Oryzias latipes: one gene and its partners. The protein of the gene in region 1 purifies or fractionates together with the protein of each later gene. This does not show direct contact. Links are inferred from orthologs where the notes say so. Each region holds a gene or a part of one and is shown on either strand. Other genes may lie near its edges.

The links.
Region 2: the proteins of wrap73 (region 1) and rnf219 purify together in Homo sapiens (affinity purification with mass spectrometry; 3 studies listed by BioGRID and IntAct, counting the BioPlex papers as one, with this or other methods). This does not show direct contact. The link is inferred for Oryzias latipes from reciprocal best matches to the Homo sapiens genes WRAP73 and OBI1.
Region 3: the proteins of wrap73 (region 1) and cep135 purify together in Homo sapiens (co-immunoprecipitation; 6 studies listed by BioGRID and IntAct, counting the BioPlex papers as one, with this or other methods). This does not show direct contact. The link is inferred for Oryzias latipes from reciprocal best matches to the Homo sapiens genes WRAP73 and CEP135.

Annotation. Positions count from the first base shown.
Region 1 is NC_019865.2:8,170,408-8,174,066, forward strand, and holds part of wrap73 (WD repeat-containing protein WRAP73), read left to right. Parts: coding exon 1-17; intron 18-1,976; coding exon 1,977-2,080; intron 2,081-2,633; coding exon 2,634-2,720; intron 2,721-3,397; coding exon 3,398-3,532; intron 3,533-3,602; coding exon 3,603-3,659.
Region 2 is NC_019861.2:14,864,276-14,868,034, forward strand, and holds the start of rnf219 (RING finger protein 219), read left to right. Parts: upstream 1-1,093; 5' UTR 1,094-1,199; coding exon 1,200-1,271; intron 1,272-1,461; coding exon 1,462-1,597; intron 1,598-2,173; coding exon 2,174-2,265; intron 2,266-3,323; coding exon 3,324-3,545; intron 3,546-3,752; coding exon 3,753-3,759. UniProt on the Homo sapiens protein: E3 ubiquitin ligase essential for DNA replication origin activation during S phase.
Region 3 is NC_019862.2:39,760-42,465, reverse strand, and holds the end of cep135 (centrosomal protein of 135 kDa), read left to right. Parts: intron 1-1,617; coding exon 1,618-1,774; 3' UTR 1,775-2,201; downstream 2,202-2,706. Other genes in the region: chst14 (carbohydrate sulfotransferase 14), read right to left, coding at 2,484-2,706. UniProt on the Homo sapiens protein: Centrosomal microtubule-binding protein involved in centriole biogenesis. Acts as a scaffolding protein during early centriole biogenesis.

The DNA of each region.
Region 1 (3,659 bases):
CAAAGCATGTCAGAAAGGTGAGTATGAGACTGAAAGGACCACAGTTTGTACAGAGTACTTGAGGACAGGACCAGCACAGGCATACCCCATTAATCACAGGGCGCCTTTTTTTCTTTGCATTGTGACACAACCCCGGATATGTATCCAAAGTGTAGCCCTCTCCGCTGACAGCTGTCCCCCTCCTCAGTAAATGGGGCATGCTCTTCATAACAGGCCTGTCAGCGACTTGTAGAAATACGATTGTTCCTGTCTCTCCCATTTTCCAAAGTACAATACAAGGTCACTTTAAGATCCACGTATCATAAGAGTTGACAAAATAGAACCATGATGCTTTAATAATGATGTCAAAGAGTCTTGTAATTTCCTTTTTAGGATAGCATGAGGTTATGCTCTAATCCCTTTTTATTGTACTTAAGATATATATACATTTTATATACCTAAAATATTCCAAATTAAATAAAACAGCTTTTACTTAACAGAAACTTGCAAATTGTCCTCAGCCCAGTGTTTGCTTGTTTTTTAATGGTGACTCTGGCGCAGTGAGAGCTGTTCCCATTTGTGATGCTGTTTAAGGTTTTTCCTAAAGGGAGAGGTTTAGATTTGTGATTTGATAATGTGCTGACTGCGTCTGCTAATAGACCCACCAACCCTGTAAAGCTCTACATTAATGTTATTGCCAGCTGTTACAGCCCCATATTGTGATGTGAATTCCCCCCATTGTGGATTCCACCAGAGAGGAATGTGTTGCGTTCCACCAGCGGCTGCTGGAGCTGATGCTTGCTACCAAAGAAAATGTGTGTGATACTATTAGACAGGCTGCGGCTGGTTTAGGAAGTGTTTGAAAATTGGCACTAAGCTCCTCTAAAAATATACTTCACTTCCACCAGACAGATAAGCCAGGCAGGAAACAGACACAGAAGCAAGGTAAAGAGTCTGTCCCATTCCCAAAGTAAATCCCCAGAACAATACTGTCAATTGAAACTGGTGGTGTTAAGACAGCAACAGTTGGAACAAGCCTGTGAGTCAGCTTGATAGCTTGTTATCGATGATTAGGTTATTAATTAGTAGTATACAGTATTTTTCAGAAAAGAAAGTGCAGAAAGATTCCACTATTTTATTTATATCTTTAGTGTCTTTGAAATGTTAACATAATTCTGTCATTTGGTGTGCATAAATTCAGAGTTTTGTCTGAATGTCATTCAGTTTACCTCCACACGCCGTTAGGGCTTAGTCACAACTGCCCTTACAGGTGGATACAGGCTGTCTGGAGGCGAGTAATGAGCAAACCTGTACAGGGCATGTAGGTGGCCTACACAACATGGCTTACATTATCTGTACAAATACTTCAGGACACACTTATCACACGTACAACAATAGTGCGTTCCATTTTTATAGCGTCCCTTAAGGTGGCCGCACAAACCTGGGGGAAACTGTGGGACACCCCTGCACTCCCTTTAAGATGAGGTCGCTCCTGTCTATGACCCTCCACGGGCCAAGGCAAAGCCGCAGCATCCGTACGGGTCCCCCCCCCCCACGAGTGGTGCATGTCACTATGGCTTCACATCTATTGAGCAGCTATTAGCCAAGACATTGTTTTAAAAGGATTTTGTGATCTGAAGTTCTGTTAAACTAAAAACTGTCCTTTCAGACATTTTTCCCCATCCTTAATAAAATTGAAAAATTATATTTTTGTTGCTTCTTTGTAAAGTTACATGGTTTTAAAATGTTTTCGGAATTGCTTTGAAATGGTTCCAATGTGTGAATCTGTTGTTCCATCGGATTATAGAGGTTTAAATAAGAGTAAAACCTTTTAGTTTCCTCCTTTAAGACATAAAAGTAAAACTTTCAGCCTTTTTTAAACGATGCTGTTATGAGATCCTTCTGATTCCAAGAAAACCTTTTATGTTTGGATTGATGGATTTGGGTTAAACTGCTTTTGTCTGCGTTGTCACCTTAAAATTCCGGGATTCTTACAGGTTTAGACTTCAGCAGAGATGGATGCTATATGGCTCTGGCTGAGCGTCGTGACTGCAAAGACTACGTCAGTATATTTGTTTGTGACGACTGGCATTTACTCAGGGTAAGAAGGGTTCTGCTTTCTATCAAATCTCAGTGTTTTAACAAAAGCTGTTTTCTAAATGAAATGTTAACAGGGATAAATCATGACACTGTTTTTTTCCTCTATGTTGAATAGTTGTCAATTAGAATAGAATAGACTTTATTGTTACTGCCAGCAGCAGTTCAAATGACAAAGTTACGACTAAGCTTTGGGGAAAAAACAAATGTTGATTCTTAAGATATCAAACAGGGAGCTAAAAATAAACTATAATATGGAAAATTATGGATCTAAAATATTAACATTTTAACAAGTGTAAATCAGGACCTTCAGGACCTAAAGACTTATTATTTTTTATTCTAACACTCATTTTATTACAGATGGGACAAACAGCTAAGAGAAAAAACCAAAAAATAAAAACCGAGTTACACTATTGCTGTAATTCCAATTTGGCTGCATCTGTAGATGTTGGATCAGTTTTAATTATCTTGTTGGTATAGAATTTTAAGTAATGTAACATATGGGTTTTGGGGTGTCAGTTAATGAATGTAAACATGAATCCACACTTTGATTACAGCATTTTGAGACTGAAACTCAGGACCTTTCTGGATTGGAGTGGTCTCCCAACGGCTGTGTGCTGGCCGTGTGGGAGAGCTGTCTGGAGGTGAGCTTTTTAATTTCACCTGTACCGGTTAACCCCTTAAGTTATAGTAACTTGTTACTTTTAATATTACATTGTGTGTAAGGAATGTCTGGATTCCTATATGGGTTGGTCCTTTTGAGGCTACAGCAAACCCTTTGAGTGTGGGACAGCGTTATAATAAGCTACATAGTCATAGTAGTAGGTTTAGGGGCTTTCATCTGGACTTAGTTTTTAATGTTAGAAGACGTTTCACCTCTTATCCAAAAGGCTTTGTCAATTCTGAATTAGCTGGTAAAAGAGCTGGTATATATGCGCTCTTGGGGGAGGAGTCAGACCTGAAACCGGATGGTAGTGTCAACTTAGCCTACGACAATACCATTGTCACAAAAAAACAGAATTTCTATGTTGAGGTATTTTCATTTATAGTATTAAATGCCTAAACGAATGATGTATATCTAGATTGTATTCATTTACGTAAAAGAACTGGCCTGTATCGTATCACCATAAAGTTAATTGTATCTTTTATGCATCGATTCTTGGACCATGTATGAAGATGCTCAGAATCATTTTAGAGGGAAAGACATACTCCCACTTTACTATAAATGTTATGAGTGATACCCAGGTTGGATAGATGGGCTGCCCAAAGAAGGTTAGAAGAGTGCTGTTTTTATTGTTTAAAGTGCTTGTCCTGTCTGCAGTACAAGATGTCGCTTTACTCGTTGGATGGCCGGCTGCTGTCAACCTACAGTGCCTATGAGTGGTCGCTGGGTATCAAGTCCGTGTCGTGGAGCCCCAGCAGCCAGTTCCTGGCCATTGGCAGCTTTGATGAAAAAGTATGGACAGCCTTAAAAAAAAGTTTTCCGTATGTAGTTCAATCTTCAGAGTTTCATTCTTCCATTTCAGGTCCGCATCCTCAATCATATCACATGGAAAAAAATTGCACAGTTTGAGCATCCTGCT
Region 2 (3,759 bases), on another chromosome or scaffold:
AAATTAGTAAATAATAATTATACAATTAATAATGAATAATAATAATTTTACTTAAAACCTCAAAAGTGCCTCTGCTTTCCATAAAGATCTAAAATTACAAGCCAACTAACAATCCTAAAATAAGCATACATGTAGGAAACCTTCTAGAAATTACCAAAAACAGGTTTAAAATCCACACAACAGATTCCAAATGTTTTAAAATTTATAAAACCAGCAGCAAAGTTGAAATTAGGACACTTCTGAACAGTTTTTTTTTTCCTATGATGACTTAGTATTTCGGACCTAACATGCAGCGTCTCCAGGCAAACTCGAAAAAGTTACTTATTTTTTATTCCAAAATATGTTTTTTTTTATTTCTCTGTTTTTTGTTTTAATTTTAAGCCACCAGGAGGTACCAAACCTTGGAGCTCCTAAAAAGAAGCCATGGACTAGTTGGGAGAAGGAAGCATTTACCATTATCTCCTATATGTTAAAAAGTCATACTCCGAGAAAACATGTAGATAATCTTGTTTTAAAAGTCTATGAAATTGTTAGTGATTGACTTTCCATTTAGGCTGTGTGTGTTTGTGTGTGTGTGGGGGGGGGGCACAACCACAGCTATTTTGATTCTGTGATGACTGACATGTGTACATGTTTTTGATTGACATATGAGTAAACCCATTAGTGAACACAACAAAAGATCCATTTGTTGAAGTGGGCGGAATAGTTCTGGTAAATGAGCTCATCCCACCCATTCTCCATTCTCAATCATCCAATGGGGAACATTATTGGTGAAGTGCATTCACACATTTCCAAGCTTTTCACCACATTAGCAGCTAAACTAACTGAATGTAAATACATCTTCAACTCATTAAAAAAATAACCAAAAAGGCCACTACTGTGGAAGTTTTTTTTGCTATAAGTATAACCACTGGAGAACTAGGCAGAGTAAAATTGCTTTCAAAGAGGCAGGGTCAAAAAGTCCATAAAAAAGATTCCTATTTTGTTCACTTCTAGGTAAAAGTTCTCATGAAAAAGAAAACTACCAAATATATTTAAAAGAAATAGAAAATAAACATGACCCTGTCCGTACTAAAATCAACCCTTTTTGTCCCTCAAAGAGTTCCGTAGCTCATGACGCGCGCGCAGACCGACGGTTAGTTCCTGGTGGGAAACTTGTACCTCCCCGCGGGAACTGTGTCGTGTCTTGACAACAAGCGATGGCGCTCAATTATCAGGCATCGACTCTGTCTCTAACTTTGCCCATTTCCTGTCAAATTTGCCTCGGAAAGGTAAGCAGCATCTACATTTCGACATTAGCCGGGAATAGAGGAAGTAAAACTTCTCCTGCGTTGTCTGGCGGTGACTGCACTAGCGGCGCGCTAGTCACCCAGCTGCAACTCGGATCACCAAAGGAAAGCGTCTATTTGTATTTTTATTTTTTTGTCAAAAAATAATTGTCTGATACTCGTCTCCGTGCAGGTCAGGCAGCCGGTCATTTGTGCCAACTACCACGTGTTCTGTTCGTCCTGCATGGAAGTGTGGTTAAAGAAAGCCGGCCAGTGTCCCACCTGCAGAGTGCCCATCACAGCAGAGAGTCCGTGCAGAGAGATCATCGGTGAGTACCGCTACAAACGAGGGGGGGGCCCCCCCCCCCCCCCCCCCCCAAAAAAAAAAAAGATCAGTAGAGGATGCACTGTCTGCATTGTTAAGAAAATACTTAATTAAATCTACATAAACTTAACACTCCTGTACAGAAAATAAAGGATTAGCTCAATACAGTTCTATCATTTGCAAGTCCCACAATGTTTTTGTTGACACATTAGAGGTGCTGAACTGTTTCTCCATGCATTCCCCTTATAAACTATATATTTTCATGTTTCTTTTTAAATGTAGGCAAGTAACTAATAAATGAGGATATGATAATGTCACTCATGTTGTTTTCTTTGCTTTGAGTTAAAGGTTTGTTCCAGAAATAAGGTTACAACAGTCTGTTAGATAGAACATTTGTTTGAATTACTTTAATGTTAATTTATCAACTTTTGATCTGCTTATATATCATTTCTTAAATATGGTAGCTAGATTCAGTTTTTGATATTTTGGCACCAGAACGTATATTCAGTATCTACTTGGAAAACTACTAGTATCATGTGTATATTTTTGGAAATATAATCTTTTTGTCATTCTGCTACAGGGGGGACGAATGAAGGCGATCACAGTGACAACACATCCATGAGAAAATGTCTCCGTAAAACCAGAGGAGAGCTGCTTTTACGGGAGTATGAGGTACGGCTGCATTCAGGATGCTTTCTGATATTTTAAATTACTAGTTAATTCTGCTTAACTGGGAACCCGTGAGTATGTGTGTAGAGGGTTAGCTACAAAATTAACAGGTTAAAGGGTTTGAGGGGAGTTTACACGACTACTATTAAAATCCAGTCAGCACTGTTCAGTCAAATTTGAACAATTACTGCTAAGTATCAATCAAAGCTTTTATTAGAATTTATTTGGACTCTAATCAAACTGTTTCACTATATTGGCACTACAAATATTACAATGGTTCACTACTCCAAGTCCTTTCAATTTGTTGGTTATTTTTGGTTATATCCGCTTTATTTAGTGTAGAACGTGTTGACATATTCCTACTGTGAGACTAAAAGGAAAATGGTCTCCCACGGAATTAACATACATTTTAAGACATTTTGAAGAATTATTTGTTATGTTGTGTTATTTTATGTTAAATTTGTAAAACTATGTTATGTTAAGTTAAATTTTTTATATTAAAAAATAACATAACCAATCTATACTTGTTTGTTAAATAATATCATCTTTTAACCAGCTTATTTACCAATAATAGTGACTGAAAAGCAGAAGTTTAAATAGTGTTCTCTTGTTTATCTGCAAAAAGTGAAATCCACAAAGACGGACATTAATATTTTAACACTTTTTTTCTCAAAGTTCCTAGCTTCATAGAAAAATAAGTTCAGTATTATGGAACAAAAACAAAAATCTTTTGGAGAACTGGCTTTGCAGAGCTGCCTGCTTCTTGTACAGGAGACATGGCATAAAGGAGATTGATTGACAAGATCTTCAGCCTATTACCATGCAGAACACAGTGTTTAAAAAAAAAAAAGAAAACCATCTAAAGCTGCACAAAAACAAGTCTGCAAAACAGTGAGCCACAAAAGGTGAACTGCAATTAAGCAAGGACCACTGTAATTCACTTTTTCTATCTTTCACATAACAAGATTATGATTAAACTTGGATTGAATTTCATGTTTATTTGTTTTTTTAATTTGGTTTTTCTCCTGACCCTTGTTTTTCACAAAACCTTTCCACGTCAGGAAGAGATCGAAGGGCTTATGAGAGAAAACGAGGAGCTGAAAGTCAAAACTCAAAATCTGGAAACCCAGCTGAAGACCGCATTGCTTCCTACCAGCATAAATGCAGTGGAAGCAGATGAAAAGAGGGTCCCTCACTTTGTTGTAGAGGAATGGAAGAACAAGCTGCAAGCAGCCACAGATGTTTGTGATCAAATAAAGCAGGACATGGACAAACTGAAAGAGGTACACACAACTAAACACATGTTCTGTATTTACTGACAGATGTTGATAAAGCTTGTGCATATGTCGTGTATTTACAGGTCTTATAATTCTATATATAGAAATACAAGTAAAGTTAATAGTTGGAAGGGTAACTGCATGCATTTCTTAAGTTTTAACAGAAGCGTACGATATCTTATTTTTATTTGAGACTTTCTCTGTTTCCTTTAGGCAAATA
Region 3 (2,706 bases), on another chromosome or scaffold:
CCAGCACCACCACTCATGCCCCTGACCTTCCTGATGGACTAGCACAGCACCAGGCCCGCCAGACCCCAGCCCAGTTTATGTTTAACAGTTGGATGTTGTGAATGAGGTTAATAAAGTCCATTTTCAGTACTTGCGTACTTATTTAAAACTGGAACTTAAAGTATTTTTAGAGTGCATTTACTGATGTTCAATTTTCAATTCAATTCAATTCAATTTTATTTGTATAGCCCAAAATCACAACAACAGTCGTCTCGATGGGCTTCGAAGTGAAACATGAACTCAAAAGGATCACGAATACAAAGAGTTCAATAGGAAAATACTAAAATGAACTAACAAACTGACTAAGCTATACTGGCATCCCTGCCCTTAGACCCCCCTTCGCGGTAAGGAAAAACTCCCAAAAAAAAACGGATTCCGGAAAAAACAAAGAAACCTCAGGGGTGTCCACATGAAGGAGGGATCCTCCCCCAGGACGGACAGGTGATTTACCAGAACTCTTAGAGAAGAATTAACTTATCTAAATCTACAACTACATATATAAAATCAAGCAGACGAGCTTCATCCAGCTGTGGTCGGGGGGACAGTCAAAGGCGCGAGTCGAGCCGGAGACAGGAACCACGGCCAGGTGTAGGAGCAGGAGCAGAGATGAGGTACTCTGTCAGGTACAGAGCAGAGACGAGCCAGAGATGAGCCTGAGACAGGATCCACAGCCAGGTGTAGGAGCAGGAGCAAAGGCGAGGTAGACTGTCAGCAACTGGAGCACGGATGAGCCAACAGGAGTCTGGAAGCACTCCCACTCCCCAGGAGGGGAGAGGAAAAGAGGGACAATACATGAATCGCACTGCACCAAACAGAGGCATGGAGAACTAAATGATGAATAATGATCAAGAATGGAGAAGAGAGGAAGGGTAGAAGTAGAAGAGAAAAGAGGACAGAACCCCAGAGCACCATAGTTACCCCAGCTTCAACTTCTAGCAGCCTTTTAAAAGAAATAGTTACTATTAAGTTTAATTTAAACAAATTAACATTAAGTTAAATAATCTCTGAATACTAACTAGTCTGACAATAAGCCTGTCCAAAGAGGAATGTTTTCAGTCTAACTTTGAATGTAGAAACTGAGTCGGCCTCTCTTCCATGAGCTGGGAGTTTATTCCATAAGACAGGGGCTTGGTGGCTAAATGCTCTACTTCCAACCGTACTTTTACTAATTCTAGGAACCACAAGCAGTCCTGCATTTAGTGAGTGAAGTGTTCTTATTGGGTGGTAAGGGACTATGAGGTCCTTAATATAGGACGGGGCCATTCCATGTAAGGCCTTATAGGCTAACAGTGAAGTGAAACTAACACAGGAGTGATGTGATCTCTTCTGCTAGTTCCAGCTAACAATCTAGCTGCTGCGTTCTGAACAAGCTGAAGACTTCTTAAGGAACTCTTAGGACACGCTGCTAACAAGGAGTTACAGTAATCCAGCCTCGACGTAACAAATGCATGGATGAGTTTTTCCGCATCACTCTTAGAAAGTATATTTCTGATCTTAGCAATATTCCGCAGGTGAAAAATGATGTTGCTTTTTGCAAATGCAAAAACTGACTAAATGTAAACATTTGTGTGTTTTCAGTGAAAGGGTGGTTCAGGAGATGCGCAGACAGGGTCTTTCCTTCTCATCCCTGGACAGCAACTCTTCCCTCACAGCCTCCAGCGGCATTCACGGTGCCTCCCAACACTCTATCTTCCAAACTCTTGAGCGCTCTTCTGACAAGTCAGCAGACAAGTAACCTGAATTTGAGTGTCAGAGACCTGACATCCTTCATTTCTGCATGCACTCTGGATATTACCCATCTCTTTTTCAAGGACAGCAGAGAAAAATTCTGTATTGAAAAGTGAGTTGGACACAAATCCTTCCAGAAATGCATGCTGAATGAAATCGCTTCTAGCACTCCCCATTATTACCGTACTATTTTCTTCAATAAATCATCCAAATTTTAGAAAGAAATAAGCAGAAACTACTGCTTGAAATTAGATTTTTTCCTTTCAGAATAAGCAGCTTGTTCTGTCAGTATGATGTTCCGAGTTATTGAAAAATCCTTTCATTTCCAACATTTTTATCTCTTACATGTTAGAAAAACATGCATTATGTGGCAAAACTTGTATTTTTTTTTTATTATGTTAAGTTATTAACAAAATAAAGGTGTACATAAACCATGAAGCTCAGTAAATGGTCCAATTCCATTACATGCTGTGTGCTTTTGCCTGCTAAGTCTTTTTCACTTTTAAATCTTCCCATGAACAAATACAAAAACAATTTTGACCATATCTGTCATTGTGTAATAAAACAACTATTGTAACAGATACTTTAAGGCTGGTTTAAAACCTTTTCAAGCTTTAGTGGGTTGAAGTCTGGTCAAACAGCATTGCAGCAGCATTGCAATAATTTGCACCCCTCTGCAAACACAGATGATTGTCTATAAAATGGTGAGGCACTCCTTAATGCCTGCAGTGGTCCATGGTCATGTTGGGAAGAGGATAAGTGAATAAGGAGAAGTCTAAGATATACTTTGGGAGGAGTTCTCTCAGAAGCTTCTGGGGCAAACTGCACAGGTAAAAGTGTAAGGTCTCTGTAGTAACTGGCTTGTACCACGTCTGCCTTTCGGGGAAGTGAACAGAAGAAGGCACATTGATGAGTTGCAACACAAAGTCTGCATCGGTT